Oryctolagus cuniculus: one gene and its partners. The protein of the gene in region 1 purifies or fractionates together with the protein of each later gene. This does not show direct contact. Links are inferred from orthologs where the notes say so. Each region holds a gene or a part of one and is shown in the gene's direction. Other genes may lie near its edges.

What was found. Proteins that work in one complex are often made in the same cells at the same time.
Region 2: the proteins of PPP2CB (region 1) and SIKE1 purify together in Homo sapiens (affinity purification with mass spectrometry; 3 studies listed by BioGRID and IntAct, counting the BioPlex papers as one, with this or other methods). This does not show direct contact. The link is inferred for Oryctolagus cuniculus from reciprocal best matches to the Homo sapiens genes PPP2CB and SIKE1.
Region 3: the proteins of PPP2CB (region 1) and CCDC6 purify together in Homo sapiens (affinity purification with mass spectrometry; 3 studies listed by BioGRID and IntAct, counting the BioPlex papers as one, with this or other methods). This does not show direct contact. The link is inferred for Oryctolagus cuniculus from reciprocal best matches to the Homo sapiens genes PPP2CB and CCDC6.
Region 4: the proteins of PPP2CB (region 1) and PPP2R2A purify together in Homo sapiens (affinity purification with mass spectrometry; 8 studies listed by BioGRID and IntAct, counting the BioPlex papers as one, with this or other methods). This does not show direct contact. The link is inferred for Oryctolagus cuniculus from reciprocal best matches to the Homo sapiens genes PPP2CB and PPP2R2A.

Annotation. Positions count from the first base shown.
Region 1 is NC_091433.1:80,850,589-80,858,901, reverse strand, and holds the start of PPP2CB (serine/threonine-protein phosphatase 2A catalytic subunit beta isoform), read left to right. Parts: upstream 1-4,092; 5' UTR 4,093-4,095; coding exon 4,096-4,197; intron 4,198-4,855; exon of another isoform or gene 4,856-4,870; coding exon of another isoform or gene 4,871-4,909; intron 4,910-8,313.
Region 2 is NC_091438.1:55,564,338-55,571,457, forward strand, and holds part of SIKE1 (suppressor of IKBKE 1), read left to right. Parts: 5' UTR 1-68; coding exon 69-227; intron 228-459; coding exon 460-565; intron 566-1,385; coding exon 1,386-1,528; intron 1,529-3,574; coding exon 3,575-3,688; intron 3,689-6,551; coding exon 6,552-6,653; 3' UTR 6,654-7,120.
Region 3 is NC_091446.1:52,195,095-52,202,760, reverse strand, and holds part of CCDC6 (coiled-coil domain-containing protein 6), read left to right. Parts: exon of another isoform or gene 1-586; coding exon 587-690; exon of another isoform or gene 691-4,055; intron 4,056-4,354; coding exon 4,355-4,515; intron 4,516-7,666.
Region 4 is NC_091433.1:47,869,297-47,876,243, reverse strand, and holds the end of PPP2R2A (serine/threonine-protein phosphatase 2A 55 kDa regulatory subunit B alpha isoform), read left to right. Parts: intron 1-616; coding exon 617-708; intron 709-4,106; coding exon 4,107-4,386; 3' UTR 4,387-4,741; downstream 4,742-6,947. UniProt on the Homo sapiens protein: Substrate-recognition subunit of protein phosphatase 2A (PP2A) that plays a key role in cell cycle by controlling mitosis entry and exit. Involved in chromosome clustering during late mitosis by mediating dephosphorylation of MKI67.

The DNA of each region.
Region 1 (8,313 bases):
CACCAAGAAAAATACCAACATTTATATATACATTAAAAGCAGCCTAATGAACTGTGTAGGAATAAAATCTTAACATGTAATAAATTTTAAAGCAAAGGATTTGCTGAAGTCAACAATTTTAAAAATCTTTGGCCAAGAGGAGAAAGGTAAACAGAGTAAAAATGAAACCACTTCTAGAGAACAAAAAACTTGAAACTGGCCTACAAATCTAAGATTAAATACGGTTTTATATGGCAAGTAATTTTTTATAGTTGGAAACAGGAAACCTATATGCCAAGTAATTAGCAAGGACTGGGAACTGATGACTGTGTTCTGTAAACACAAACACAGGGGCCGGAGCTATGGTATAGCGGTTAAAGCCGCCGCCTGCAGTGCCAGCATCCCATATGGGCGCTGGTTCAAATCCTGGCTGCTCCACTTTCAATACAGCTCTCTGCTCTGGCCTGGGAAGATGGTCCAAGTCCTTGGGCCCCTGCACCCATATGGGAGACCGGGAAGAAGCTCCTGGCTCCTGGCTTTGGATCAGCCTAGCTTTGGCCCCTTGCAGCTATCTGGGGAGTGAACCAGCAGATGGAAGACCTCTCTCTCTCTCTCTGCCTCTGCCTCTCTATAATTCTGCCTTTCAAATAAATAAATACATCTTTAAAAAGATTTTAAAAATACACCCTAATATGTGCGTACATATGTAAAAACAAAGAACAAAGAAAACAAAGAATTCTAGTTTCCATTTTTATTGACTGATTTTCATCTGCGTGAAAGGCAGAGTGACAGAGAGAGAGAGAGAGAGATAGAGAGAGAGAGAGAGAGAGAGAGAGAGAGAGAGAGAAAGTATCTTCCATCACTGGCTCATTCCCCAAATGCCTGCAATTAGCAAGGGCTGGCCCTAGTCCTAGCCGGGAACCAGGAACTACACCCAGGTCTCATACCTCCCAGGATGCTGGATCAGAATTGGAGTGGCTGAGACTCGAACCAGCACTCAAATATAGAATGCAGGGTGTTCCACACAGTGCCTTAGCCCACTGAGCCACAGTGCCCATTCCTCTAGCTTCTGGTTTTAATTATGATGACTTCACAAAGGAAAGAGTGAAAACTGATGTGGCAAAGATCAAGCCTTTGTCACTCTGCCACCCTTGGCTTTTCTTGCTCCCGCCCATACTAAAGAGGCCATTTTTAAGCATGGACGTGGATGTCAGACTGACAGACACGGTGTCAAGTCTACTCCACCAGTACTGTTTGTGTGACTTGAACACGTTTTCATACCTTTGCATGTTGGTTCTCTTATCTATCAAATGCAGGATAGCAACACCTGCCTCACAGGCTTATTGGAGTATTTAAATGAGAACATACATATTAAATACACAGTATATAGAAAGTGCTCCAGGGGCCAACGCTGTGGCATAGCAAGTAAAGCCACCGCCTGCAGTGCCGGCATCCCATGTGGGTGCTGGTTCGAGTCCCGGCTGCTCCACTTCTGATCCAGCTCTCTGCTGTGGCCTGGGAAAGCAGTCGAAAATTTCCCAAGTGCTTGGGCCCCTGCACCCTCGTGGGAGACCCAGAGGAAGTTCCTGACTCCTGGCTTCAGATATGTGCAGCTCTGGCTGTTGTGGCCATCTAAGGAGTAAACCAATGGATGGAAGATCACTCTCTCTCTCTCTCTCTCTCTCTTCTCTCTCTCTCTCTCTCTCTCTCTCTCTCTCTGCTTCTGCCTCTCTGGGACTCTGCCTTTCAAATAAATAAATAATCTTAAAAAAAGAAAAATGCTCCAAAAAAGCATCCTGATTTATTCTTCAGCACTATTTGATTAAACATTCTGGAAGTATTATTTTCACAAGTTCACCTAAGCACCCCCCCAACTCCAAGAACATTGTCGCAGATTAATTCCAAACACACTTGCTTCTATTTCACCCATCTTCCTCTCTAACCACCATCTATAGTTTCCATTTCTCTTCAGGGTACATTTTCTGTTCTCAGCCCATCTACTGTAGGAATTCCAGAAATATTCTCAGTCTGCTTTTCAGGTTTAGGTGAACTTCAGCCTCCGGAGAGCGAGCAATGTCTACTACGATTGTCCAGGTACCCCACCTTTCCAGCATCTGCTCATCGCTCCATTGGTTTGCTACCTTTTACAAGTTGCTTGAAAGCAAGAACCCTTCCAGCCTCATTTCCCACCATGTGACCTATTTGTGTTGCTGGGAGTATTTACAGCTTTGCAGACAGACAGTGGTCTTGGGTACATCTGTCCTCTGGTACACACACACACACAGATTCCTTAAAACTTCTTTCCTGTTCTCCAGGCAGCTTCAGGGTTTTGCGGAGGGGGGGGGGGGGATTGGAGGAGGATAAGTTTCAAAATTCAGGTTGGGAGTGGGCATTTGGTATAGCAATTAAGCCCCCCACCTTGGTATGCTACAGCCCATATCAGAGTGCCTGTGTTCAGTACCAACCTCCTAGTAATGCACACTAGGAGGCAGCAAGTGATGGCTCAAGTACTTGGGCCCCTGACACCCATGTGGGAGACCCAGATTGAGTTCCTGTCTTATGGCTTGTTATGTGGCCCAGCTCTGGCCGTTTGAGGGCATTTGGGGAGAAAACCAACAGATGGGTTCTCTCTTAACATTCAGAGCAGGCATTGTGGTGTAGCGGGTTAAAGCTGTTGCCTACAATGCTAGCATTCCATCAGGGAGCCAGTTGGTGTCCCGGCTGCTCCACTTCCAATCCAGCTTCCTGCTCATGAACCTGGGGAAAGCAGCAGCAGATGGCCCAAGCGCTTGGGCCCCTTCCACCCATGTGGGAGACCCAGATGTAGTGCCTGGCTCCTGGCTTCAGCCTGGCCTAGTGCCAGCTATTGTGGCCAGCTAGGAGTGAACCAGTGGGTGGAAGATCTCTCTCTACCTTTCCAACTTTTTCAAAATAAATAAATGCTTTTTAATAATTCAGTTCAAAATGCTCCCATTCTAAAGCTCTTTGAAAGTGTTCCCCAGGACAGTAAAAACAACAGACACATGGCTCCCATGGTGTACCACGGGACAGGCACTTTCAACCTCTGACTCTCAGAGCCTGAGAAGGGAAGCTGATGCTTGAGGAGGTGTGGCGACTGCCAGGTCAGGAACACTTGCCCTCTCACCCAGGATGCCGCCTCCCTCTGGGGTTCCGCCCAGCACTGCGAATCTCTAAGGGAAGAAGTGTGGGTGGTTAGCATGTGCCGGACAAGGTGCCTGGCCAGCAGCCGGCAGCCGGCACCAAGAGCGTGTTGACCAAATCATTACACCTCGGTAAACACTGCTGGAGCTGGAAACGACCCAGACGATCGCACAAAACAATCATTTCATCTTCCCGATATTGCAAGCGAGCGTTCGAGACACCCGGCTAGAAGAAATTTATTCTGTAAATAATTGAATGCCTGCTTCGGAAGAGTGCCTGACGCTGGGGAGAATAAAATTCCTTGTCCAGAGCGGCGGAAACGCACTGCGGGAGCTTAAGGTGAACACGAAGTTGCCCTAGGACAAGATGTTGGGGAAGAAATCAGGGGAGCCAAGACCAGGCTGGGAGGAAAAGACCAGAGAAAGCAAGAGGACCGGACAGGCGCCCCCGACCCCGGGTCCCCAGGGCCGTTTCTCCGCCGAGCCACGCGAGGGCGCTGCTCCGCTCCTCGCCGGCCGTGCCCCGGCGGCGCCGCCCGCTCGCCTCTTCCCGGCGGAAATGCCCGGGCGATGACGGAAACCCTCAGGGAGGGGAGAGAAAGGGCGAGAGGGTAGGGGCTACGGAGCCGGGAGAGGGCGGCGGGCGGCGGCAGCGGTCGCGGGCGGCCATCGCCCGGCGGGAGCTGCGTCCAGAGCGTCCTCGCCGCGCTCCCCCACCCCCCCCCCGACCCCGACCCTTCCGCTTCCCCCACAGACTCCCTGGGCGGGGACGGACGCGGGGTGCCCTCGGGGAGCCGCCCGCTGGACTTGAGCCGGGTGCGGGGCCCGCGGCCACCCTCCCCAGCTCCTTCCTGTCCCGCTCGGGGCTTGGCGGCGGCGGCGGCGGCGGGTGAGGGGAGCGGCGCCCGGGGCGGGGGCGGGGGCGGGGGCGGGTGGGGGAGGGGAGCGGGCCGCCATGGACGACAAGACGTTCACCAAGGAGCTGGACCAGTGGGTCGAGCAGCTGAACGAGTGTAAGCAGCTCAACGAGAACCAAGTGCGGACGCTGTGCGAGAAGGTGAGGGCCGGCCGGGGAGGAACGCGGGGCGCTGGGCGGCGGCGGCGGCTCCCCTGCCCGGCCTGGCCGCGGCTCCGCGCCGGCCCCCGACGCCGCAGTCGGCTCGGGGCAGTGCCCGCGCCCCCGCGCTGCCGACTCGGGTGTCCGCCGGGAACGGGCGTGACGGCCCGAGAGGGACCCGACCCCGCGTCGTCGGGGTCGGCCAACTTGCTCCCGCGCGCCGGAGCGGTGGGCGTGATGGCAGACGGTGGCTTTTTTAAAATAGAGGTGCGCGCAGATGGCGCCCCGCACGGCGCGCGTGGATTGGCGGCACCCGCGCCGCGAGGCCGGAGCTCGGGGACAGTTCGTGGAAAATGCCTATAAGGATTAAAGACTGCTCGTGGATTTAAAAATCGGTTTTTTACACCAAAAAAAAAAAATTTCTTAAAGTCCCGTCCTGTGAGTTGTCATGCAGGGTGGCACTTTTCAGAAAGTTGTTTCCAGTCCCCAAACGGGGGTAAACCCTGCAGGCAGTGCATTGTTGTCAGGTGTCTGGTCTTAGCTTTCTGAATTCGGAAGCCATTGTTTTGTGAACCCGTGGAATTCTCACCTGTGCAGGTGGTGTACTTGAGAGCCTCCAGTTGTTCTTCATTCATCATTTGCGCTGTGGACTAATTAGTTTTCATGTATTCGTATGTTGGAAAGTCCCCTTGGAAGTCCACGAGGTACTGGAGTAAGGAGGTTATTTTAGGTTATTTTCTTAAATGTGTTTGAAAGCCCGCATACCTCAGAAAAGCACTGAGGAAGTAATTTTTTAAGCCTTATTAGTAGGGCACTTTTAAAAAAAAGACAGATTTATTTATTTGAAAGGCAAAGTTACAGAGAGGAAGAGAGAGATCTCTCATCTGCTGGTTCACTCGCCAAATGGTGGGGGCCCTGCCCGAGCCAGGAGCCGCCTCCAGGTTTCCCACGCTGGTGCATATTAGCAAGGAGCTGGATCAGAAGTGGAGCAGCCAGGACTCAACCAGCCTCAGTCATCAAGTAAAGATGTCACCCGTTACATCACAGCACAGGCCCCAGTAGGGCACTTTTTAAATTATGCAACTAAAGGATGGAGGGGTAGCCACTGTTTTTAACAAGTGCCCAGGGAGCTTACATATTGAATAACTACATGTTATTATTTCTGCAGATAAAAGTGAATTTGAATTTATTTCTGCAGATAGAAGTGCCACAGAAATGGTATATTTCTCTTCCTGAAGCAAACTGCTTGCTTGTACCTTCATTCCACATTTGTGTGTGTGTGTGTGTGTGTGTGTGAAAACCTGTGATTTCATGGGTCTTACAATTTACGCTTTACTAAACTCTCAAGCTCCAGCATCAAGTTTGAGTAATTAGCTGAATTGGTTAACCTCCCTGTGAACGTCAGATACAGACTTGAAGTTATGACTAAAGTGGTAGTTGAATCAGTTTTTCTTTTTGACTTTCTAATAATTTTAATTTCCTAGAGGAGACTATTTTACCAGTACATTGATAATTGCACTCAAATCTTAAATCATGCCAGGAAACTGTGTATTTATCGAGAGATTATTTTTACTTCACCTCCTAAATAAGTTGAACTACCTAGGATCTTACAGCTATAGTTTACTTACGCGTTGACCTGTTCTATCTTTGATTGTAGTTATCCACAAAATGTGAAGCTCAAGTGAAGATCGCCTTGCATTTGTGTTTGTGCTCTGTGCACTTTGATAGAGTTGCCAGTGGAGCAGAGTGCCAGTAGTTCAGCAGCTCTCAGTGTAGCCGCCTTGTTCTGGCAACTATGGCTTACTTTTGTGGCATATGTGGTGCCTCCGTATCTGTGCTGGATTGGTCCAGGTCCTATAAGAATACCAAAAGTCCCCATGCTCAAGTCCCTTTTATAAAATGTGCAGTGTTTGCATGTAATGTACATACCTCCTCTTGTGTATATATATATATATATATATATTTTTTTTTTTTTTGACAGAGTTAGAGAGAGAAAGGTCTTCCTTCCGTTGGTTCACTCCCTAAATGGCTGCTACGGCCGGCACTGCGCCGATCCAAAGCCAGGAGCCAGGAGCTTCTTCCTGGTCTCCCACGCGGGTGCAGGCGCCCAAGCACTTGGGCCATCCTCCACTGCCCTCCCGGGCCACAGCAGAGAGCTGGACTGGAAGAGGAACAACCGGGACTAGAACCCGGCGCCCATATTGGATGCTGGTGCCGCAGGTGGAGGATTAGCCAAGTGAGCCACGGCGCTGGTCCCTCTTGTATATTTTTAATCATCTCTAAGTTGTAACACCTGATATGAAAATATTATGTAAATGGTTTTTATACTGTGTTTTTAGAGAATAAGAAATAGAATGTCTGTGTTCAGTACAGAGGCAGTTTTTCCCCCATATCATAATTTCTGGTTGGTTGAATCTGAGGATATATCTCTATGGATATAGAGTACCAACTAGGTACTAACCTAGGGTCTACCTGTAGTCCTTAGTTCTGGTTTTATATCCCTACCTCATGCTTGTTGTTAATAACAGGTGTAGCGTTCCACCCGTCTGGATTCAAATTGTGCTCCACTTGCTAGCTGCCCATCTGGCACCTTTGACTTCTTACCTGCCAGGCAGGGATCATATTCACTGATCTCTTGAACTGATTATATTAAGATGGTGCCCGTGTGTGGGGCCGACATTGAGACATAGAGGGTTTAAGCTGCCTCTTGTGAAGCTGGCATCCATATCAGCACTGGTTCCACAGGGCTTCTGGCTTGGGCTTGGCCCATCCTTGATGGTTGCAGCCATTCAGAGAGTGAACTAGTGGATGGGAGCCATCTCTCTCTCTCTCTCTCACTCACTCACTCTGCCTTTCAAATAAATAATTTTTTTTTAAATAAGTACCCCATGTGACGTCCTGACAAAAAGTAAAAGTCAGTGAGTGTTAAATGAGGGAAAGCTAAAAATGTGGATCTTGTGTTAAATGCCTTATCATTTTCTTTAGGAAATAAGTGCAAAATAAATAGATACCACTTCTGTGGTGAATCAAAGGGGAATGTATGTACAGTGGCTATAGGACCCTGAAAATTAGTGTCCTCGTTATCTGAAGCACAAAATTCTGAGATGAGTGTCATCTTTAATTCCTTGCAACTAGATTTTAGTTTAACTTTTTATTACTTTTTTATTCTATTGGAAATACTATATAGGAAGTTACACTCTATGGTGATGGTTTTTCAGTTAGGATTAATTTCCTTTTCTAAATCAGATTGCCTTAAAACAAGGAGTCAGCTGACCTCAAGACCAAAGGAGTACTAGTAAAGGCCTATTGTGGGGTAGTGGAAGAAAGAAAATCCATTGTAGTGCCAGTGGGCAAATGACCACAAAAAATAGTGGGATAGTGTGGTGTGTCTGCATCTGAGGTTACTTCCTGTGTAGTAAAACACTGCATAAAATAGTAAGGCATATCTTCTGAGAAGACTAGCTAGTAACACCTAATTAGTAAGCCAGCTTTGGAAGCTGATCGTGAATTTGACATCCCTAATGTCTGCAGAGAAATTGGGTGTGTGATTCATTGTTGTCACAGCAGTATGCACAGGAATTTTACAACTGATCTGGTGCTGTTAAGGACATTCTGTGATGAGAACTGTATCTAACTGTTGTGTCCAGAAGAGTAAAAGTTTAAAAATAAAAGAGTAAAAAGTCTTAGGCTCTTTGTCCTGGTAAATGCTATGACTGAAGAACCCTGATTATGATTCTCTAGGTGGGCAGGGAAAATGAGCTAGTTTGTGTGCTGGCAGATCTAATTATAAAAGCTGCTGAGGAAAACATTGAGGCTTGTGCAGGAGATGAATATGGACTGATGGATATGTTTCTGGGTTCTGGCCTTGAAATAAGTGAAAATACCTTCAGCATGTTACTTCGTTCTTAATGTGAAATGGTATACTTAAATTCCTGAATGCCCAAAACCATCTTAATGAAAAATGAACTGGTAAAAATGAACTGGTTTTGTTAGTCGAGAAAAATCTTTTAGGTTATTCTTTGTGATAGGTTCAGCTTAAGAACAATAATGATCTTGAAAAAGCCTAATCAGTACTTTCATTTTTAATTTTCCCTCTAACAAAGATTAATGCCAGCC
Region 2 (7,120 bases), on another chromosome or scaffold:
ACAGGTTCAAGGGAGAGCTGAGCAAATAGCGTAGGTGAACTGGCCGGGATTTGGGTCCGGCAGCCGCTATGAGCTGCACCATCGAGAAGATTCTGACGGACGCCAAGACGCTGCTAGAGAGGCTGCGGGAGCACGATGCGGCCGCCGAGTCGCTGGTGGATCAGTCGGCGGCGCTGCACCGGCGAGTGGCTGCTATGCGGGAGGCGGGGACAGCGCTTCCGGACCAGGTCAGGCGGAGGGTAGCGGACCAGGGCCCTGGGGTTCTGGGCGCTTGAGGAGTGGAGAGCGAGGTGACGGGGGACCTCGGCCCGCAGTTTATCCCTGGTCTCAGGGCGGCAGGAAGACCTTTCTGCAGGGTAGGGGCTGGTGATCCTGCCCTGGCGCTCTGACTCCTGCCTCTTCAGCTGCGTCTGCCCCAGTTCTGTTTACAGTGCGCTTAGGCTGTCTCTGTTTGTGCAGTATCAAGAGGATGCATCCGATGTGAAGGATATGTCCAAATACAAACCCCACATTCTGCTGTCCCAAGAAAACACACAGATTAGAGACTTACAGCAGGAAAACAGAGGTGAGTCAGGCCTTTGTGTGGTTAGGATTGTTTCACGTCTGGGAGTGGCGAAACTACCCTAAATGTATTTTCAGGTCAGTACTTTTACTAGGAAAGTTACCGTGTGCTGGCCCAGTAAGAAGCTTGTTAGATTACCCGTTCCAAGGTTTGTTTTTATAAGCAGCTTATCAAAGAGACGCTTGCTTGAATTGAATTATTGCATGGCTTTTTTAGGTACCCCCAGATGGAGGCTTGCATGACGACACTGTATATCCTTAAGGGCTTAAAGTTGAATGTTTAGATATTAACGTAATGAACCCTGATGTTAAGTTCGAAGGTTTTGTATATGTTCTTACACATGATGGAAGAGTGGAATTCTATCCTCAGAATATATATTTGCATTCTTAGGTTGATGAGTGCATTATTAACGACGTTAATAGTACTAGTTGTACAGCGCTTTACAGGGGGCTTTCGTATATGTTATTACCCTGTAGTCTCCTGTCTTCATTTTGAGGTAGGCAAGCCAGGTATTTATACAGTGCCTTTAAGAAACAGGCTCAGAGAAGTTAAATGAGTTACTTATGAGTGGTAAGCAAGTAAGGCACAGAACTGAACTCAAGCCGGTGTTTTTCTGATTACACACCCCCATGTTGTTTCTGCCAAACTGCTGCCTCTACCTAGAAAGTTATTTTTCATGTAGACTTTAGCTGTTCAGTTTGCTACAACTTTGGGTTCACAGTATCATGGAGTGTCATCGAATTCCACCTATCAATAGTTAGCCTTTGGGATCTGTCTCACAGCCTTCACTGTTCAGTTATTTTGTTTTGTATCTGTTTGGTAGAGCTCTGGGTTTCCCTGGAAGAACACCAGGATGCTTTGGAACTCATCATGAGCAAGTACCGGAAACAGATGCTACAGTTAATGGTCGCTAAAAAGGCAGTGGATGCTGAACCGGTCCTGAAAGCTCACCAGTCTCACTCTGCAGTAAGAAACTTGGATGCTAAATTCTAAATGAACTGAATGAAAATCTTGAGATTGTTTTAGATCATGTCCATTTTTTTAAAAAATAAAAGGCAGGTTTATTACATTCAGTGTTTATTTGCTGTGGCTTTGTAAAGCTGTGAATAGAAGGGCATGAGTGGCTCCTGAGATCCTTTAATTTGAGTGGGGCTAACGTCCCTCCATCCTTCGCTAAGATCTGTTTTTAAGATGTTAATGAATGCTTAGCTTTTCCAGCAATTTCAGGTAGTGCTGAAGGTGGTGCCCACAGTGGCAGAGTGGGTAAAGCGGCCGCCTGCAGTGCAGCATCCCATATGGGTACTGGTTTGGGTGCCGGCTACTCCACTTCCAATTCAGCTCCCTGAGCAGTAGAGGATGGCCCAAGTGCTTGAGCCCCTGCACCCACATGGGAGACCCAGAAGAATTTCCTGGCTTCTGGCTTTGGATCAGTGCAGCTCTGATCATTGAAGTTCATGGAGAGTACATATTATTTAAAAAACTGAATGAATTTCAAAACTGCACCAAAAGAAACTAACTGCTTAATTCTAGTTTACATGAACTTTTTGAGGTATCTTCATGGTTGGTTGAGTATTACTTGCACATACCAAACTATAAATTCCCTAATTGTAAGGAATATGAATTCATTTAATTCCTAACGTAGTACCTGGCACATAACAAACAGTCAGTAAATCTTTATCAAAATGAACAAAGTAGCATTATATTGTGTTACTAGACAAGACAAGTATGGTTTAAAAAACAAAAACCTGGCCCAGTTCTACACTTGGCTGGGAATGATGTAAGTTGAGAGGCCAGTAATTGGTGTTGTGTTCATTGAGTGCTTCATAGTTGTCATTATACAATCACATGTACTATTACTGAATCCTGGACAATAGATTGGAGCCTCACTAATTGCTGCAGTGGAAGATACAGTTCATCTCAGATCCTTTTGGATGCATTTTATTGATTTATTTTCATTTTATTTGAAAGGCAGAGACAGAAGGTCTCACATCCACTAATTTAATGCCCACAATAGCAGACCTGGGCCAAGCTGAAGCCAGAAACCTGGAACTCAGTCTGGATCTCCCATGTGCATGTGGGTGAAAGAGACCCAACTACCTGAGCTGTTCCTCTGCTGCCCCCAGGATGCACATTAGCAGGAAGCTGGACCAGAGGCCGAAGAGCTAGGACTTGAAACCAGGCACTCCGAAATGGGATGCAGGCATCCCATACAGCATCTTAACTGCTGTACTTGGATTCCCACCAAAGGGATATTTTAAATACTCGATTCCTTTCATATGAAAAATAAAAATAAATGTTATTTACTGTGGTTCAGAAGGAAAAATATGAACCTTCAGGGAGACAAAGTTTAGCTCATTCAGAAATACTTTCTAAGCAATATGACCGGATAAAGACACCTTGGTCTGTGGTAAGCTTCTTGCCAGTAAAAGTCTTCAAATTTAATTGAAAAATGGCCACCTGATGATATCGTCCAACATTTAGTTGTTCTTAGACTTTTGGATTCATGGGGCAGGCGTTTAGCCTGGCAGTTAAGATATCCTTGTCCCATGGAGTATTTGGGGTCTGTGTGCCTGCCTCCAGTTCCTGATTCCAGCTTCCTGCTAATGCAGACCGGGGGAGGCAGTGGTGATGGCTCAAGTAATTGGGATTTTGCCACCCACTTTGTATACCTGGATGGCATTCCTAGCTCCCAGCTTCAACCCAATCCAGTCCAAGCTGTTGCAGATACTGGGGAATGAACCAGCAAATCAGCGAGAAGTGTACTCCCTCTCTCTCTTTACCTCTAAAGTAAACAAATTTCCTTTTAAAAATTCTTTAAAATAAAAAAATTTTTTGTGAATGCCATAAGCTCACTCTATTATGACTTTACTTTCCATGACTCAGATTATAGTGTAACTACATTGTAACTTGTATAATATAGAAAAAATGAACTTTTAAAAATCATAATAATGTGTTCTCATGCACTTCATATCTGTAGAATGACTTTTTTCCCCCCTCTTAATTTCTCTACAGGAAATTGAGAGTCAGATTGACAGAATCTGTGAAATGGGAGAAGTGATGAGGAAAGCAGTTCAGGTAGATGATGACCAGTTCTGTAAGATTCAGGAAAAGCTAGCCCAATTAGAGGTAAGATTGCTGCCATTTTTAGTTCATGATATTTCACAGTTTTCATAGTCTGGAATATATGCCATCACTACCTTATCACTGTAATATATTGATATTTTCTGTTTTCTTACGACTTAAAACTCTTCATATCGTTTTAAGAAAGACAGTGTTGGCTGGCGCTATGGCTCAATAGGCTAATCCTCTGCCTGCGGCGCCGGCACACCGGGTTCTAGTCCCGGTCAGGGCACCGGATTCTGTCCCGGTTGTCCCTCTTCCAGGCCAGCTCTCTGCTGTGGCCTGGGAGTGTAGAGGAGGATGGCCCAACTTCTTGGGCCCTGCACCTGCATGGAGACCAGGAGAAGCACCTGGCTCCTGGCTTCGGATCAGCACCGTGTGCTGGCCGCAGCAGCCATTGGAGGGTGAACCAACGGCAAAGGAAGACCTTTCTCTCTCTCTCTCTCTCTCACTGTCCACTCTGCCTGTCCAAAAAAAAAAAAAAAAAAAAAGGCAGTGTTGTAATAAACAGCATTCTGTGAAACTACCAACCAAGAATTGCCTAGAGGTTGAGATACTATGAGAGTAGAGAAAGTGAAAGGAATAGGTTATATGAGCCAGTATTCCCCATCTGCCACAGGAGGAAGTCATATGAGTAATACCTAAAGTTGATGACTAGGAAATACAAGTGTAGGCAGATTATTTAGAATTAAGGAAGAAAAGACATAAAGTGGTACTGCTTTTAAGGAACAAAGCCAAGGAACTGCTATTTATTTTATCAGCCTCACATTCTTGATTTACAAAAAAGGGGGCAGAGTTAGAGAGGGGGAGAGAGAGAGAGAGAGAAGTCTCCCATCTGCTGGTTCACTCCCCAAATGGCCACAGTGGCTGGGGCTGGGCCAAGCCAAAGTCAAGAGCTTCTTGTGGGTCTCCAAGGACTTGGGCCATGTTCCACTTGTTTTCCCAGGTCATTAGCAAGGAACTGGATTGGAAGTGGAACAGCCAGAACTTAAACCAGCACCTATATGAGATGCCAGCACTGCAGGCGGAGGCTTAACCCGCTGCAACACCATGCCGGCCCCAAAGTCTTGATTTTTTAAAAGCTATTTTTGTGTAATATTTTTATTAAAATAGAAATATACAAAAAAGGCCTGGATTATTAGTGTACCCCATAAAAAAAATTGTTTTTTTGACAGGCAGAGTGGACAGTGAGAGAGAGAGACAGAGAGAAAGGTCTTGCTTTGCCATTGGTTCACCCTCCAATGGCCGCCGCAGCAGGCGCACCACACTGATCCGATGGCAGCAGCCAGGCGCTTCTCCTGGTCTCCCATGGGGTGCAGGGCCCAAGGACTTGGGCCATCCTCCACTGCACTCCCTGGCCACGGCAGAGAGCTGGCCTGGAAGAGGGGCAACCGGGACAGAATCCGGCGCCTCGACCGGGACTAGAACCTGGTGTGCCGTCGCCGCAAGGTGGAGGATTAGCCTAGTGAGCCGCGGCGCCGGCCTCCCATAAAAATATTAAGGAAAAACATTTTGGTAGGTGGTTTGTGTCCTACTTATTATAAGTTGTTATAATGGGCTTTTGAGAAAAACCAGAGAGCTGGACTGGCACAGTGGTGCAGTGGGTTAAGTCACTGCCTATGACACTGGCTATCTCTTTTGGGTACTGGTTCAAGTCTCGGCTGCTCCACTTCTCCTGCAGCTCCCTTCTAATGCACCTGATAAAGCTGCGAAAGGTGGCCCACGTACTTGTGCACCTGCTCCCATGAGGGAGACCTGGAAAAGGCTCCTGGCTTCAGCCCAACCCAGTTCTGGCTGCTGTGGCCATTTGGGGAATGAACCAAATGATTGATAAATAAATAAATATTTAAATTAAAAAAGAAAAACAGAAGGAAGGAAAAGAAAAAGAACTGCCAGAGAGAAAAAGAGTTCTCTGCCCAGCACCCAGCAGGAAGAATAAGACTAGAAGTGAAGTGATATGAAATGAGAGCAAGTGCTGGGAGAGGGATGGAAGTCCCGGGGAAGCACTTGGAATGGTGGAAGGTGTGTTGCCCGTGGGCTCTGACCCCTTGGCGAGGCTGAAGAAGTGCGGTGTCTCAGTGTCCTGTAGAGAGAGTGAAGATGAAGAGTGTAAGCTCTGTTTGGGAATCAAAGGGAGTGGCAAGTCCTAAGAAGGACTTCGTGGCTAGCTAAATAACAAATCACCCTTGTCTGCACTATTCCTGGTTTACCTCAGTTATGGATACAGTCCTAAGGAAATGTGGGACCAGTTTTACTTACTATTTTAAGAAAGAAAAAAAAAATGGTCATTGGACACAGATGTCAGCAATACCACATCCAGGTGACCTGGATTTGGACAAGTTTTTGGAGTTTTACGAACTACAGCATCTTTATCTTGAGTAGAATACGGATGTCAGCAAAGAGACCTCCCTTACAGAGTGCTGTAAGATGGCATACATAATGAACCTGGCAGGTACCTCCCTGCATGCTCAAGCACTAGTTCCCTGCCACCTTTCTCCTCTCATTTTCTAAAACTGTGGGAGAGCTGGAAGGAGAGAGTGAAAAGATTATTAGAAATTGAAAATTGAAGAAACAGTAGTTAAAACGCGTGGGAACCATGAAGGGTATGGCAAATGGTAAATTCCTCAAGGGACTTTGTGTTTTTTCTTCTTTGCAGTTTTAGTACTCAGTAAATGTTAAATTAATAAGTAGTCTTTTAGGAAAGTCTCAGCGTGTGTGTGTGTGTGTGTGTGTGTGTGTTTTGAATTTCCTTATAACCTTAAAATGAAAATAAGTTTTCTTTTCCTGGCCCAAACCAATCTGTCCTGATGCAATTTGGCAGTACAAATCCTGGAAATAAACATGTATCTGTTCTCTTTTTTTTTTTCAGCTTGAAAACAAGGAACTACGAGAATTATTGTCTATCAGCAGCGAGTCACTTCAGGTCAGAAAGGAGAATTCAGTGGACACTGCTTCCCAAGCCATCAAATAACTGAACTTCTGAATGATGGCTGGAAATTGTCTTATCAAGGAAGGAAGTTGCTGTCTTTCCATTGGAGTATTGTCCATTCAGTATCTTGCCTCAGACTTGATTTAAACTTCCCACGTGACAGTTTAGAGTACCAGTTAATATTGGCTGTCCACAAAACAGTTTTAGGTGTATTGGTGAGAATACACAGTGAATTTCACCATTCCTTTCTGCAGGAAACTACTTCTGATTTTCATCCTGGGACCTTCATTTTCTATAAGCTCTGTTTTCAGTTCATTTTTGTTTTCCACATCTCTAGAACTTCAAGCATTTTATTGTAAGACAGGAACTTTATTTTATATAGGATTGTGAAATACACTTATGAGGATTTTTAAAAGTATTTAACTTTTTAAATCTATTTGGCATAAACCTGGGTTTTTTTCCCACTTGACAGAAGGAATGCAACTGCTTAGAACTTAATGGGCAGATTC
Region 3 (7,666 bases), on another chromosome or scaffold:
CTTGACCCCCCCACCACACACACACTAAAATGAAGTTTCATGAGGGCAGAAATTTCTGAGTCAAGTTCATTGCTACATACCTTTTATCCCATGTCTGTCGTCGTATTCAGTGTTTATTGCAGGTTACTCAGTACTGATTGAGTAAATGAATTTTCCCATGTTTATTTTAGGACATAGAATACAGTGAGGGGTTCCCTCCCTAGTACAGCCCCTTCCCCAAATCAAATTGCCTTCTCTAAGTCCTCGCAGATAATCAGTATTGTGAACTTGATATCTATCATTTTCGTGCATTTTTATGTATTTTTCTCTGTATTTGCATTGCTTTTCCAGTATAGAGTTATTTGAAGGCTTCTGAGTTATTTATATAAGTGGCAGCATAACCTTTCAGAGGGACTAGGGGACAAACCCGGGTACATCCTGGTGTCTCGTACACAGAGCTCACCCAGACGCTGTATGAGGAGGACTTGGCGTGTGCCTCGAGTGCGTGCTGAAACTAGCAATGTGATTTCTGTCCCGGACAACAGGTAAGTATGAACAACGTTGAGACGGCCTGCCATGCTCAGTGAAATCTTTTTTCTTCCCTTAGTTGAGACGGGAGAAGATTGACCTTGAAAATACCTTGGAACAAGAACAGGAAGCACTAGTGAATCGTCTCTGGAAAAGGATGGATAAACTTGAAGCAGAGAAGCGGTTTGTGTAGTCTTCTGTTCCGTGTGTGTCTAAGAGCTGTTCTGGGTGTGACGGAGGAATGACCATGGGACACCCGAGTCCCGTGGGTGAAACACAGCATTTTGATTTGCCAAGGAAGCACATGTTGAACCTTGAAATGTTCTCATGTTCGTCTTCCCTTTATTCTTTGCTCCCTTACTGTCCCTGTAGAATGCGTTTTTCTCAGGCATTCCAGGGCTGCATTGGGATAGTCCTACTGCTCTTGTAAATTGTACGTAGGATAGTTGCGTTTTCAGCTTTCCACATTATTGAAATGCCTTTCTCCACTGTGTTTAAAAAGGTTTATTTATTTGAGAGACAGAGGATGTGATATCTTCTGTCTGCTGGTTTATTCCCCAAATGGCTGCAGCAGCAAGGGATCAGCCAGGCCAAGGTCAGGAGCCGTGAACTCCATCTGGGTCTCCTTGTGAATGGCAGAGACCCAAGTATTGGGGCCATCATCTGCTGTCTTCCCAGATGCGTTAGCAGGAAGTTGGATTGGGAGTGGACCATCCAAGGGCTCAGACTGGCACTCAGTGTGGGATGCTGGTGTCAGAAGCAGCAGGGTAACCTGCGGTGCCACAACGCTGAGCCCTCTGTTGCTTCCTGAAGTACATAGGATGGACGATGTACTGTTGGTTGTTAGCACAACTCTAGAATTTACCTCATTCGGAAAGCTGAGCTTCTAATGGAAAAAAATGCTACCTATTTGTGTTATAATCGGTAATGAGATACCTGCACATATTTAAGGTGACGATTATTCGGATGTGAAATGTCACCCGGCAGTTGCATGTCTTGCACCCCTGGTGCAGTGCAGTGCCTTGCCCTTTTTTCCAGCACTGTATACTTTGGAGGTGGGGGGGGGGGTAGGACAGAGCCTGTAAGGCTGGAAGGAATGCTCTGGTTGTGGGGTGAGTGTATGGGTGTGAAGAGTGCGTTTCTTGGGAGTGTTCCTGAGTCCACTTCACCCAGGTCTTTTTGTTTACTTCCTGGACTCTGCCTTACGTATTTGGTTTGGATGCACATTTATAAATTATTTGGAGTACATCTCTAAATTTGAAAATCACAGATTATATCACATAGCTTTAAACAAAGTGAAAATCAGAAGTATATCTCCAGGAAATAATTAAGCTATAATTGAATCAGCTATATTTTATATTGTAGTGAAGTTATTTTATTTTATAAAATAAAATTGTAGTGAAGTTATTTTAATTTATAAAAACGTAGAGACAATTAAAATATTTGACGCATTAGTTTTCTCAGTAAGGGAAGAGATAATTTGCAGTGTGTATTTGGGTAAACTCAAAGCTAAAAATCTAAAAATAAAAGCACAGGGCAGGCATTGTGGTGTAGTGGTCAAGCCGCTGCTTGGGCCCCCTGCATCCTGTATTGGAGTGCCTAGGTTCTAGTTCCAGCTCTACTTCCACTCCAGCTTCTGGCTAATGTGCACCATCAGAGGTAAGAGATGATGGCTGAAGTACCTGTGTCCCTGCCACCCACGTGTAAGACTGGCTCCGGGCTCTGGCTCCTGGCTCCTGGCCTCAGACTGGCCCAGTCTTGGTTATTGTGGTCTTTGCATCTGGGGGGTGAACCAGCAGGTAAAAGATCTCTCTCTCACTCTCTCAAATACAGAAAAATAAACTTTAAAAAATTAATAAAAGAAAACCAGAAACTCCTTATAGAATGAAATCGGGGCTCAGTGACAGTTAGGTTGTCACTTCACGGGTCAGAAGCTCCTGGGGAAAACAGGGTTGGGCATTTGGCACACTGCTTCAGATCCCACTTGGGACACCTGCATCCCATATAAGAGTGCCTGGTTTGAGTCCAGGCTCCACCCTAGGAGGGAGCAGGTGAGGACTCAACTGTTTGGGTCCCTGCTACCCACATGAGAGACCCAAATTGAGTTTTAGCTTCTTGGCTTCCTCCTAGACAACCCTGGTTGTAGTAGAGGAGATCTGTTTCTGCCTGTCTTTGTCTTTCAGATTAAAAAAGCTATTGAATATCAGCAAGTTACATGCTTCAGCCTAACAATGATTGGAGAAGGTGGTATCACCTGTTATTAGTCAAATAATTTTGGGTCAGTTTGTGGTGTTTTTCTTTTTTTTCCTTTTTTTTTTTTTTTTTTTAGTTAATTTATTTGAAAGGCAGAGTTAGAAATCTTCCATTTGCTGGTTTATTCCCCAGATGGCTGCAACAGCCAGAGCTGGGCCAATCTGAAGCCAGAAGCTTCTTCCAGGTCTCCTACGAGGGTGCAGGGGACCAAAGGCTTGAGCTGTCTTCTACTGCCTTCCTAAGGCGCATCAGCAGGAAGCTGGATGGGTAGAGCAGCCAGAACTTGAACTGGCACCCATATGGGATGCCAGCACTGCAGGTAGTGGCTTTACCCGTTATGCCAGCCCCAGGGTCTGTTTTGTTGTTGTTGTTGCTGTTTGTTTTTATTTGAAAGCTCAGAGGGGGCTGGAGGGAGACAGAGAGAGAGAGAGAGAGAGAGATTGATCTTCCATATGATGGTTCCCCAAATGCTCACAATAGCCAAGGCTGGGCTAGGCCACAGACAAGAGCCTGACTTTCCATGTGAGTCTCCCATGTAGGTGACAAGGACTCGGGTACTTGAGCCATCATCTGCTGCCTTCCCAGGAGCATTAGCAGGAAGCTGGGTCGGAGGCAGGGTAGCTGGGACTTGAACCAGGCACTCTGATAGGAGATGCAAAGATCCTAAGCAGTGGCTTAACCCATTGCACCACAATGTTCAGACCCCAGTTTTAATTTTGTTTTTAGATTTTTACTTTTACTGTGGACAGAAGCAAAGGGTCCCCAGGCCATTTTGCCATGTGCTTGTGATGGTTTTTGCAGGAAGAAATTTTTTAATTTTTTTTAACCAGCATAGTTATAGATAGAGAGTAGAGAAAGGTCTTCCTTCTGTTGGTTCACCCCCGAAATGGCCTCTACGGCTGGTGCTGCGCTGATCTGAAGCCAGGAGCCAGGTGCTTCCTCCTGGTCTCCAGGGTGCAGGGGCCCAAGTACTTGGGCCATTCTCCGCTGCCCTCCCGGGCCACAGCAGAGAGCTGGACTGGAAGAGGAGCAGCCAGGACTAGAACCTGGTGCCTGTATGGGATGCCGGCACCGCAGGTGGAGGATTAACCAACTGAGCCATGGCGCCGGCCCCTTCAGGAAGAAATTTTAGAAGTTGAGTTTATTTTTGTTAATTCACCCTCTAAGGAGATTCATAATAGCTCAAAAATTTCAGCTGAAAATATTAGGAGAGCAGAATTTAGTATTTAGTATTCCCATAACTGACACCCAGCATGTTGACTATGTAGTCAGCCGATATTTCTGAGGGCCTCCTGTATCCGGGCTTAATAAGCAGAACCAGATGTTAAATAGAGACTTCACCACGAGTACTTATACCCAGTGGTCATTTCCAGCTGCAGCAGAGAGTAGATCCTACAGCTCCGCCCTGAGCCCTGAGATACCAGGAAAGGGTGACCAGAAGTTGATGGCAAATGGACAGGAGAGTGAAGTAGCCGTATGGACTCTTGATGATGAGCAGGAACTTGCCTTTAAAACAAGCCCTCCACCTAGTATGTCACTTTGTCTTTTAAAAGCAAACTGTCTCTCATTGTCGGTCTCTGTCTTTTCAATGAAGAATCCTGCAGGAGAAACTAGACCAGCCCGTCTCTGCACCCCCGTCGCCTAGAGATATCTCCATGGAAATTGATTCTCCAGAAAACATGATGCGTCACATCAGGTTTTTAAAGAACGAAGTGGAACGGCTCAAGAAGCAACTGAGAGCAGCCCAGCTTCAGCGTACGTAGCCTCTGCTTCCACAGCCCCCGCCTTCAGAGCTGTTAGCTCTCTGTGGCAGTAACCTGTTTGCAAGATAACGCGGCATTACCAATAGTCACTGCTGAAGTTGCTTTTATCAAGTCCATGTGTTTTATACTTGATTATGTAGAATCATCATCCCATGATAGTTTTTTTTTAAGGTATTGTAATAGGGGAGGGTAAGCAGGCTAGAATGCTTCCAGACAATAATTCAGATGATTTCAGTGTGGCCCAGAATCACAGGCAGTATTTTTAACTTCCTTCCCCTGCATTCATCTCTAGGATCGTGCTAACAAAGGTAGCACAGGAGACCTCAGCGCACTGTGGGATATTAAGGCAGAGGGGACAGAGTGTTTACCTTCCTTAACTTCCTTACCACAGTTAGCCTGGGCTGACATTTGTTCGTGGTATTTGAAGAATAAACGCTTCGGAAATTTATACTCACATCTTTCGGAAAAGGCCAAGATGTTGAATTGGAAAGCAAAGGAGCTAGATTTCTCAATGTTTGATAAGTCCCTGTGCATTTTCTTGGCTCTCTCCTGTTTCTGCTTGTTGGCTACTCCCCGCTCGTATGGTGCAAGCTTCATAGTGAAAAAAAGAAGTCTCCCTCTCATCTCTATCTTCAGCCACCCAGTTTGCCCACAAGTGCCTGGTTTTACTGTATTCTCCAGGATGTATTCTGTGTATGTGTATAAAATTCTTTTATGCAAATAGTAGTGCAGTATTGATACTATTTGCACCTTTCTATTTTCATATAAGCCTTGTAGGTTTTTCTGCCCAGCCGCTAGTCACAGAATGGCCTCAGTGCCTCGGTCCTCACTGTAAAGGCTCCAGGGTATTTGATTCTGCAGATTCACTGCAGCTTAACCAGGCTTCTCCCAAGGAACTTTAAAAAAACAAAACGAGATTTTCCATCCGCTGAATGACTTCCCAAATGGGCACAACAACTAGGTCTGGGCCAGGCTGAAACTAGAAGCCAGGAGCCTCTTCCTGGTCTCTCATGTGGGTGCAGGGGCCTAAGTACTTGGGCCATCTTCTACTGCTTTCCCAGGCACATTAGCAGGGAGCTGGATCAGAGGAGGCACAGCTGGGACTGGAGCTGGTGCCCATACAGGATGCTGCACTACAGGCAGAGACCCAACCCTCTAGCCCCTCCCCCAAGGGGACCCTTTTGATTGTAAGGCTGCAACTGTGTGAGCATCTCTATACACGTCAGGGAGTTCCATGAGAACACGTTCAGGGCAGACGCCGGGAAGTTGGCTTGTTGCATCCCATGGGATGTGCATCTCCCAGTGAACAGGGGTTCTTTTCTTTATGTTTTCTTCTCTGAAGCTCTTGGCAGGTTCTAGTCCAGTGGTCCACCTGGAATAGCGACTCAGGATCATCCCTGGAACCTTTAACAAGTGTGACGTGTTAGTTTCCTGTTTGTACTGTAACATGTTACTGGCTCAAAAAATACAGATTTCTTATCCGGTGGTTGTTGAAGTCAGAAGTCTGAAATGGAGTTTGCTGGGCTCGTGTTGAGTTGTCAGCAGGGCGTGTGCTTCTGGAAGCTCTAGGCGAGGATGTCTGCAGGCCTTGGCTCAGGGCCCCTTTATAGCAGTGGCATCACTCACACCTCTGCTTCTGTGGGCACATGTCCTTTCCACTCTGCCTCCCCAACCATCCAAGATCATAATCTCCCCATCTCAGAACTCCTAACTTACATCTGCAAGGTCCCTTGTGTCATATAAGGCAGTAGCATTTACAGGTTCTGTAGATGAGCATGTAGAAGTCATTAGGGGACCATCATTCTAACAACACAGGGTTACAGCCAAGGTCCTCTGATTTTTATTTTTTACTTTCCTTAATGACAAGCAATTCTGCATGTACCTCTGGTTACTAACTCCCCCATGCAGGCATGAAAACAAGATGCAGCAGGTCATTTTAACCTGTTTTTGAGGTTTTGTGTTTGTATTAGGTAGACAGATATTTCTTGGCCCCTTCTTGAACTCTGTCCAATCCTGTCAGTTTACCTTTGTCTTCCTCATTTATACTTCCCTTGTGGGCCTTGTGGGCCTTGTGGAAAGGAGGAAATTCTCCTTGTCTGTTACTCGCTCCGTCCTGCACTGTTTATCTTTGAAGAGACTGGAGATGGCCGCCGTGGGCATCTGTATGTGCTGTTTGGTTCTGTGAAAACAGAAGCTGAACCAAAGCAGCGGCAGGTGGCAGGTGGCAGGTGGGCAGCTTGCGGTGGCTTTGAGTCTGGCCTCACGGATGAGTTACTGACTTTTCTTGCCCATCTGTCCCGCTCTGCTTGGGTCAGATGACCTGTACCTCCTTTAGATGTACCGGTGGCAGGTAGCTCCTTACCCTGCAAGCCCACTGCACTTGAACTTGAACCTTTCAGTAGTCAACTCTCTTTGAACATGGGAGCTCCTGGGGCATTTTTAACACACCAGCGGGCCAGGCCTCTGCCTCAGGGCTGCTCATGCGGCTGGCTTGGGGTGGGGAGTGGGCTTTCCCAGTTCCTAATCATAAGCTTGAAAGGGAGTACAGCATGGACAGGCCACCCTGGAACCCTTAGGGACCATCTCTTGAATCGCTCACCCTCCATCGACATTCTCTTTGACTACATACTGAGAGGTGGCTTAAGATGGGGGAAGTACTGGCAGAAGCTGTGGACTAGGGAGCTCTGTGAGCAAAGGAAAGACTCAGGCCAGTAAGTGCACACAGTGTGTGCTTGGCCAGCAGAGGGCAGCCGAGGAAGGCCATGGGCCAGGCATCTGTGTCCATGACATCCAGAGGTGTGGCACCCGTTGAGTTCTCTGTGCCTCAGGCTACTGGGCTACAGGCTGAATTTCCAGGAAGTCTTCCAACCCGGGACTTTCTTGCCTGTAGGAGATGCTCAGGAATCTTCCTGCGGTTGCCTCAGGTGCTCAAGACCTGTTGTTTTCTGTGAAAGTGTTTCCTCTTCCACGATTGTTCTTGGAGCCTTATGAACCTGCAGTTCTGGGAAGCTTTCCTGTTGATGGAAAAGAAAGGTGACTTGCTCTAACAGTCACTCTTCTTGTTCTAGAAACAGAAAATACTCCCAGGGGCCAGTCGAGTGCTTCCTGGGGAGCTAAGTGGAAAATCCTGCATTCTTGCATAT
Region 4 (6,947 bases), about 33 Mb from region 1:
AAAGTAATAGTAAGATAAAGTACATTTCATTGACTGTTAACATTTTATAAGTAATATCAAGTGATGCTATAAATTTTTAATGGTGCCTACCAAGGGTGTCCATATAATTTATCACCCGGCCAGGGCATGGTCATGTTATGGAAAGTATATGCATTCAGTTAAAAGCACAGTCCTCAGTTAAATTATGCCCAGGAAATGGTATTCTGGAAGTTAGTAAGCATGGTATTCATAGTTTTATCAGCAGCTAAAAGACTTAAAACCAAGAAGTGATAGTCAAATGGTGCTGTAATTTTCTTTTATGAGGTGCATATCTGTACCTTCTAATTTTTTCCATCTTAAATGTTTTGTTCAGGCTTACAACGGGTTACATGTGCCATACTAAGAAGGGAATTTTTCCCTGTCATTTAGGAGGAAAATTTTGCAGCCTCTTTGAAAGGCACATTTCTGTTACTGAGAGGATTGAGACTTAATGAGAGAGGAGGACTGTGTTTACATATATTAAGCCCTTTTTTGTTGTAAAGATAAGGGCTTTTTAAAAATACTTCTCTAAATTAAGTAGATAAATGTGTTGAGGTAAGCTCAGGTATATATGTTACATATCTGTGTTTTTCCTCAGGTGCATGAGTACCTCAGAAGTAAGCTTTGTTCACTGTATGAAAATGACTGCATATTTGACAAATTTGAATGTTGTTGGAATGGATCTGACAGGTAATTGCTTTTAATTTAAACTTAGAGAAAAGGGGTTTATTATTGCATTCTTCCTGGTATGGTTGCCAGTCACAAAAAATAGGGCTTTTTCTTTGAGACTTATTTATTTGAAAAGCAGAGAGGGAAAGATTTTTCATTCACTTTTTTACTTCCCAGTGACCACAACAGCTAGGAAAGGGCTAGGCTGAAACCAGGAGCCTACAGCTCCGTCCCAGTCCCCCACATGGATGTCCGGGACCCAAGCACTTGGACCATCTTCTGTCTCCTTCCCAGGCTTGTTTGTGAGGAGCTGAATTGGAAGTGAAGGAGTCTAAACTTGACCTCACACTTCAGTGTGGGATATGGCCATCTCAAGCAGTGGTTTAATCTACTTTGCTGCAACACCTACTCCCGGCTGACTTTTTTTTAGGTTGACATAAATTAAAAGTCCTAACTTCATTTTTTCCTTCGAGATTCCTTGAAATAAATTTAATAATCTTAGTTTAGTATAGCAATACTGGTCCATAAAAGTGAAGCATTCTTTCACTAGCAGATAGGAGAATATGTAGAATTTATAGATTTTTAAGAATGTTTTAAGGACCAGATAAATCACATTGACATACCAACAATTTATTTTTTATTTTTATTTATTTATTTTTTTTTGACAGGCAGAGTGGATAGTGAGAGAGAGAGAGACAGAGAGAAAGGTCTTCCTTTTGCCGTTGGTTCACCCTCCAATGGCCTTCGCGACCAGCGCGCTGCGGCCGGCACACCGCGCTGATCCGATGGCAGGAGCCAGGAGCCAGGTGCTTTTCCTGGTCTCCCCATGGGGTGCAGGGCCCAAGCACCTGGGCCATCCTCCACTGCACTCCCTGGCCACAGCAGAGAGCTGGCCTGGAAGAGGGGCAACCGGGACAGAATCCGGCGCCCCGACCGGGACTAGAACCCGGTGTGCCGGCGCCGCTAGGCGGAGGATTAGCCTAGTGAGCCGCGGCGCCGGCCGACATACCAACAATTTAAATGGTGAAATTTTGGTTCAGTTACTATCCTATTGTTGAACTATTCTTAAAATATTTGGGCAGCAGATATATTTCACTTGTGTTACTATGCACCAGTTTTTGTAGATTTTTTTTTTAATATTTTTTTTACTTATTTAAGAGGTATAGTTACAGGTTCAGGAGCCCAAGTGCTTGGGCCATCTCTCTCTCTCTCTCTCTCTCTCTCTCTCTTTTTCTTTTTTAAGATTTATTAATTTATTTGAAAGAGTTACAGGCAGAGAGAGAAAGAAATCCTCCATCCACTGGTTCACTCTCCAGATGGCCACATTGGCCGGAGCTGCACCAGTCCGCAGCCAGGAGCTTCCTCTGGGTCTCCCACATGGGTGCAGTGGCCCAAGGACTTGGACCACTTTCCACTGTTTTCCCAGGCCATAGCAGAGAGCTGGATCAGAAGTGGAGCAGCTGGGACTCAAACTGGCATCCATGAGGGATGTCAGCGCTGCAGGTGACAGCTTTACCCACTATGTCACAACACTGGTCCCTGGGCCATCTTCTACTGCTTTCCCAGGCCTTAGCAGAGAGCTGGATTGGAAGAGGAGCACCCAGGACTAGATCGGTACCAGCTGCAGGCAGAGGATTAAACTACTGCACCACAGCACTGGTCCTCGGTTTTTCTAGATATTGACACCTTATGGAAGTAGTAATAAGTCTTTCTTTCAGTCTTTTAAATGTCAACATGTACCACTTACTATGTTCCGATAAAAAATAGTAAAAGAAAGCAGCATTTTGGAGTTCTTTTAAAACTACATTTAAAGTAGAGATGCTTACTTTATACAGTAGATTCATCCTGGTTTCATGATGTTATGTGTTCTAGAGGATATTAAAACTTGAAACATTTAACTTTTAAAAGTTTCAGCCATACATTGGTTCGGTTGCTCCTCTTCTGATCCAGCTGCCTGCTAACAGCCTGGGAAAGTGATGGAGGACGCGGCCCGGGTGCTTGAGCCCCTGCCCTCTCGTGGGAGACCTGGAGGAGGCTCTGACTATTGGCATCAGATTGGCCCAACTCTGACTGTTGCAGCCATTTGGGGAGGAAACCAGCGGATGAAAGAACCTCTGTCTCTCCCTCTCACTGTCTATAACTCTGCCTTTTAAATAAATAAATATTTTCTTAAAAAAAAAATGTTTCAGCGATAGACTAGGCATCCTAATCAAAACCTTACAGATTTACATAGTGAATCATTTTTAAGAAAATAAGAGTTTATTGTATGTAGGGACGTGTACCAATTTGAGTTTGGTTAAAAATTGTCTGTTGAGTAGATGAAAATCATTTGTTTTTAATAGATAACTTGTGTACATAATATACATAGTACAATAGTGATTTGAGCCATGTGGAAAGGAGATAGTAAATGGTAGTAGTACCAGTCAGGCCCTTCCTGAGTTATTAATGATTTTATTTTTGTCAAATTTGGTTGATGAGGCTGTTTTGTAAATATTGAGCAAATAAGACTGACAAGAAAGTGTCTTGGGCAGGCTAGGAATTTGGCACCCTTTTCAACTCACACTTATAAAAATACTTACTTAAAATGTTCTTAGTGGTACAAATTATTTTCTGTTAAAAAATATTACATGCTACTTTCTTAATAGTCTCAGGAATAGATTTTATTATAAGCATTCATAAAATGTGATTATCTGAACCAGGCCTTGGGACAAATTAAATAGCTTATAGTTTAAATTAGAAAGAATTAGTTTCTCCCTTCCTTCCTTTATTCATTTGAAAGTCTGAGCCACAAAGAGGGAGAGGCAGAGACAGGAAGAGAGAACTTTGTTGGTTCACTCCCCAATTGGCCACAGTGGCCAGGGCTGGGCCAATCTGAAGCCAGGAGCTTCATCCCGGTCTCCCACGTGTGTGCAAGGGCCCAAGGACTTGGGTCATCTTCCGCTGCCTTCCCAGGCTCATGAGCAGGGAACAGAAGTGGAGCAGCCGGGACTCGAAGTAGCACCCAAATGGGATGCTGGTACTCTGTGTGGCAGTTTTACCTGCTTTGCCAGAGCACTAGCCCCAGCATTGGTTTCTTAACAGCTGTTTCATGCAGTTTGGTTTTAGAATTGCATAGATGTTGCCTACAGCTGCAGAAAATGCAATCATGACAATTCACTTCTAAGACATTTTATTTGAGGGTACTGTTCAATTTTCTCTTGATAGTTTTGGTAGTCGTCTAAAGGAGTAATTGATAAAAAAAAAAAAAAAGTAAAATATCTCAGGTGTATTCCAGTCATTGAGTTGGTGTCAGCAGTCTTGTCTGTTAAAATCTGCTTTAAGTAGCTGTTTTCTGTGTAGTATCACGCTAGGTTTAATTGTTCTGCTAAAAACAATCTCTTGTTCCTTTGTTTGACTGAATGTTCTGTCTATTTTTACAGTGTTGTCATGACTGGATCTTATAATAATTTCTTCAGAATGTTTGACAGGAACACAAAACGAGACATAACCCTAGAAGCATCACGGGAAAACAATAAGCCTCGCACAGTGTTGAAGCCACGGAAAGTCTGTGCGAGTGGCAAGCGAAAGAAAGATGAAATAAGCGTTGACAGCCTAGACTTCAACAAGAAAATCCTTCATACAGCCTGGCACCCCAAGGAAAATATCATTGCTGTAGCTACCACAAACAATCTGTATATATTTCAAGACAAAGTGAATTAGTGTTGGCATTCCTAGCAGAGGAGCCCACTTCCTGCTTAGTTGAGATAGTTGAAATCTAGCATTCGTACCTATAAAAGAGAGAGGTCCATTGTGGTGCCCCTTTCCAGTGTTTGACAGTGTGCCATTTGACAACACATTTTTATATAGCTACATGGAGAAAGCTCTGTGGATTCATCACTGTGGTGTTCTCCATGTCTGCTAGCCATTTAGGTAAGGGTAGGGCACTTTTAATTTAAATGACTTCTTGCACCATCTTGCCTAATGGACTAGATTGGACTGTATCAACATTGATTTACTCCACTTTTTATGCCTTCCATTGTGATGATGTCAAACACAGTGAAAGCCTTCAGTCATGCTATGGGATTTAATTGTGTATCCTCATTACTGTATCATTGTGGGGTACACCCCTCCCTCCCCCTTTTTTAAATTAAATACAGCTCATTCTTACTGTGGCTTGTAGCATTCCTCCTCTCTGGCCTCCTGGACTCTTCCCCCTCATCTCTTTTACCTTTGCCCCCTCCACCCGACTTGGTGGTGGTATATTAAAAAAAGAACGAAAGCACACAAAATGAGTCAGTTTGGGGTTTAGTGGTAAAGGGGGTGTATGTTGCGAACAAATGTTTTAATAACAGTTGGCTGTAATCACTCCTTGCCATGTCTGGCACTGAAAATAAGGAAAAAAAAAACTACTACTGAATAAAAGTGACAAAGAATGGAGAATCTGGTTTTCTTTTTCTTTTTAATCTACCTCTTTAAGCCAGTATTTTGTGACATACCCTTTTGGACACCGTGAAATGAAATGGGTTTCCATTATTTTATTAGTATTTTTGTTAATTATTTTTATCAAGTGTTCTTTTACATGGAAAAGGAGGGGTATTGGTTCTGTATGAACATGTTTTAAATATATGTTGGTATTATTAAGGTTTTCATAATCTATAAATGCTACTAGAGACTTTTTACTGTAGTTATGAGGGTATTGGATACATTGTATCAACACTTAACTCATCTGTTAAATTGTTGTAAATGGGATCCAAATTTGTAGAACTTCATTTTAAAATGACTTTTTACAGTGCTTTGATTTTTTTGCCTTACTAAATACTAAGTCAAAGACTAAAATGTTTTTAACAAAAACTTTTTTGTCATTCAGTCTTACAGCATAACATTAACATCAAATGATCTAATACAAATTGACACTGCACTACTTTTTTTGTATTTTATTACTATCAAAGCAGAATGAAATGTACTTTACCATAGATATTTTCCTTCTATTTTTGATTTTCCAAAGCTGTATTAAAGACAAAATTTTAAAGGTACAGTGTTAAAAAAAACTGCTTACTGGACTCCCCACAGCTGGCCCTATAAATAAAATTTGGTAATCTGTGTATGACTACATTTTCCCTAAGTGGTGATACCTTATCCAAAGATGAAGAGTGTCCCTATTTTTAATAGGTGGAATATACCTTTGTCAGTCTTGAAGAGCTTTAATGGAGAAAAAATGGACTTTATTTTTAAAAGATGCATTGAGCAGGCATTTATATTATTAGAGAATGGTAGTATATTTTGGTTGAGCAATAATATAACAACCTTGAATTTTAGAGGACTGAATGCTTCTTATATGTCCACTACCTATTGTTCAGATGCAAATTTGATTAAATATTTCATCATAATTCCCTCTACACTTATATAAATATTATGTCTTGTAAGTTAACATTTTTAGCACGCAGTAGAAATTTTATGTAATAAAATTACTGTCTCTGGGACTTAGCAAGTCTGAATTTGTATTTAAACACTGATTATTATATGTCTGATAATTTTTAACAGCACTTTTTCTAATTTATTTTGGGATCATTGGTATATTCATAGTTTGTGCTATTTATTCTTCATACTAACTTGTAAGTGGAATATTCCCCTGCCAGAAGTATCAAGTAGTGATACTGTGTTTTCTGATGGAGCAACTCTCCAGAACATCTGTTTTGGTCGTGGTTTCCCTACACTTGGGTTGTATGCTTGATATAACATAACTGAATAGCTCTTGGAAATTTATTTTTGATTGATCAGTAGCTAAGATAATTCTCACCCATTACACTAAGGGATAGTTTTATATATTTGAGTGAAATGCTTCTATAAGGTATGCTATTATAAATTGTAACATTAAGTATTCATTTTCAAATTTCTTTGGTGTAGCAAACTACGAGCCCAGCCACTCATTTTATATGGTCATGGTTAATCTTTTTATTAATAAAAATTATACTTAGAATGAACTTAGTCTTGTCAAGTTGCTTGTATTTCCTGTTCTCTTGTCACTAATAAACATTTTCTGTCCTTTCTTAACCTTTTTAAAAGATTATGATAGGAAAGAGAAGTCTCATTCTGTTAATCTCTATGATCTTTACTTAGTGGCTGGGCAATAGTAATAGTTAAAAAGCAAATCTTATAAACACTTTTATATACTAGTAATTACGGGAAAGAAGATTATGGAGCCCTCAGTCTCTTGGAATTAAAAAAAGCTATCCATGTACTTTTCCTTTAAAATTAGGAGTCTGTTAAACCTTAAATGTGAG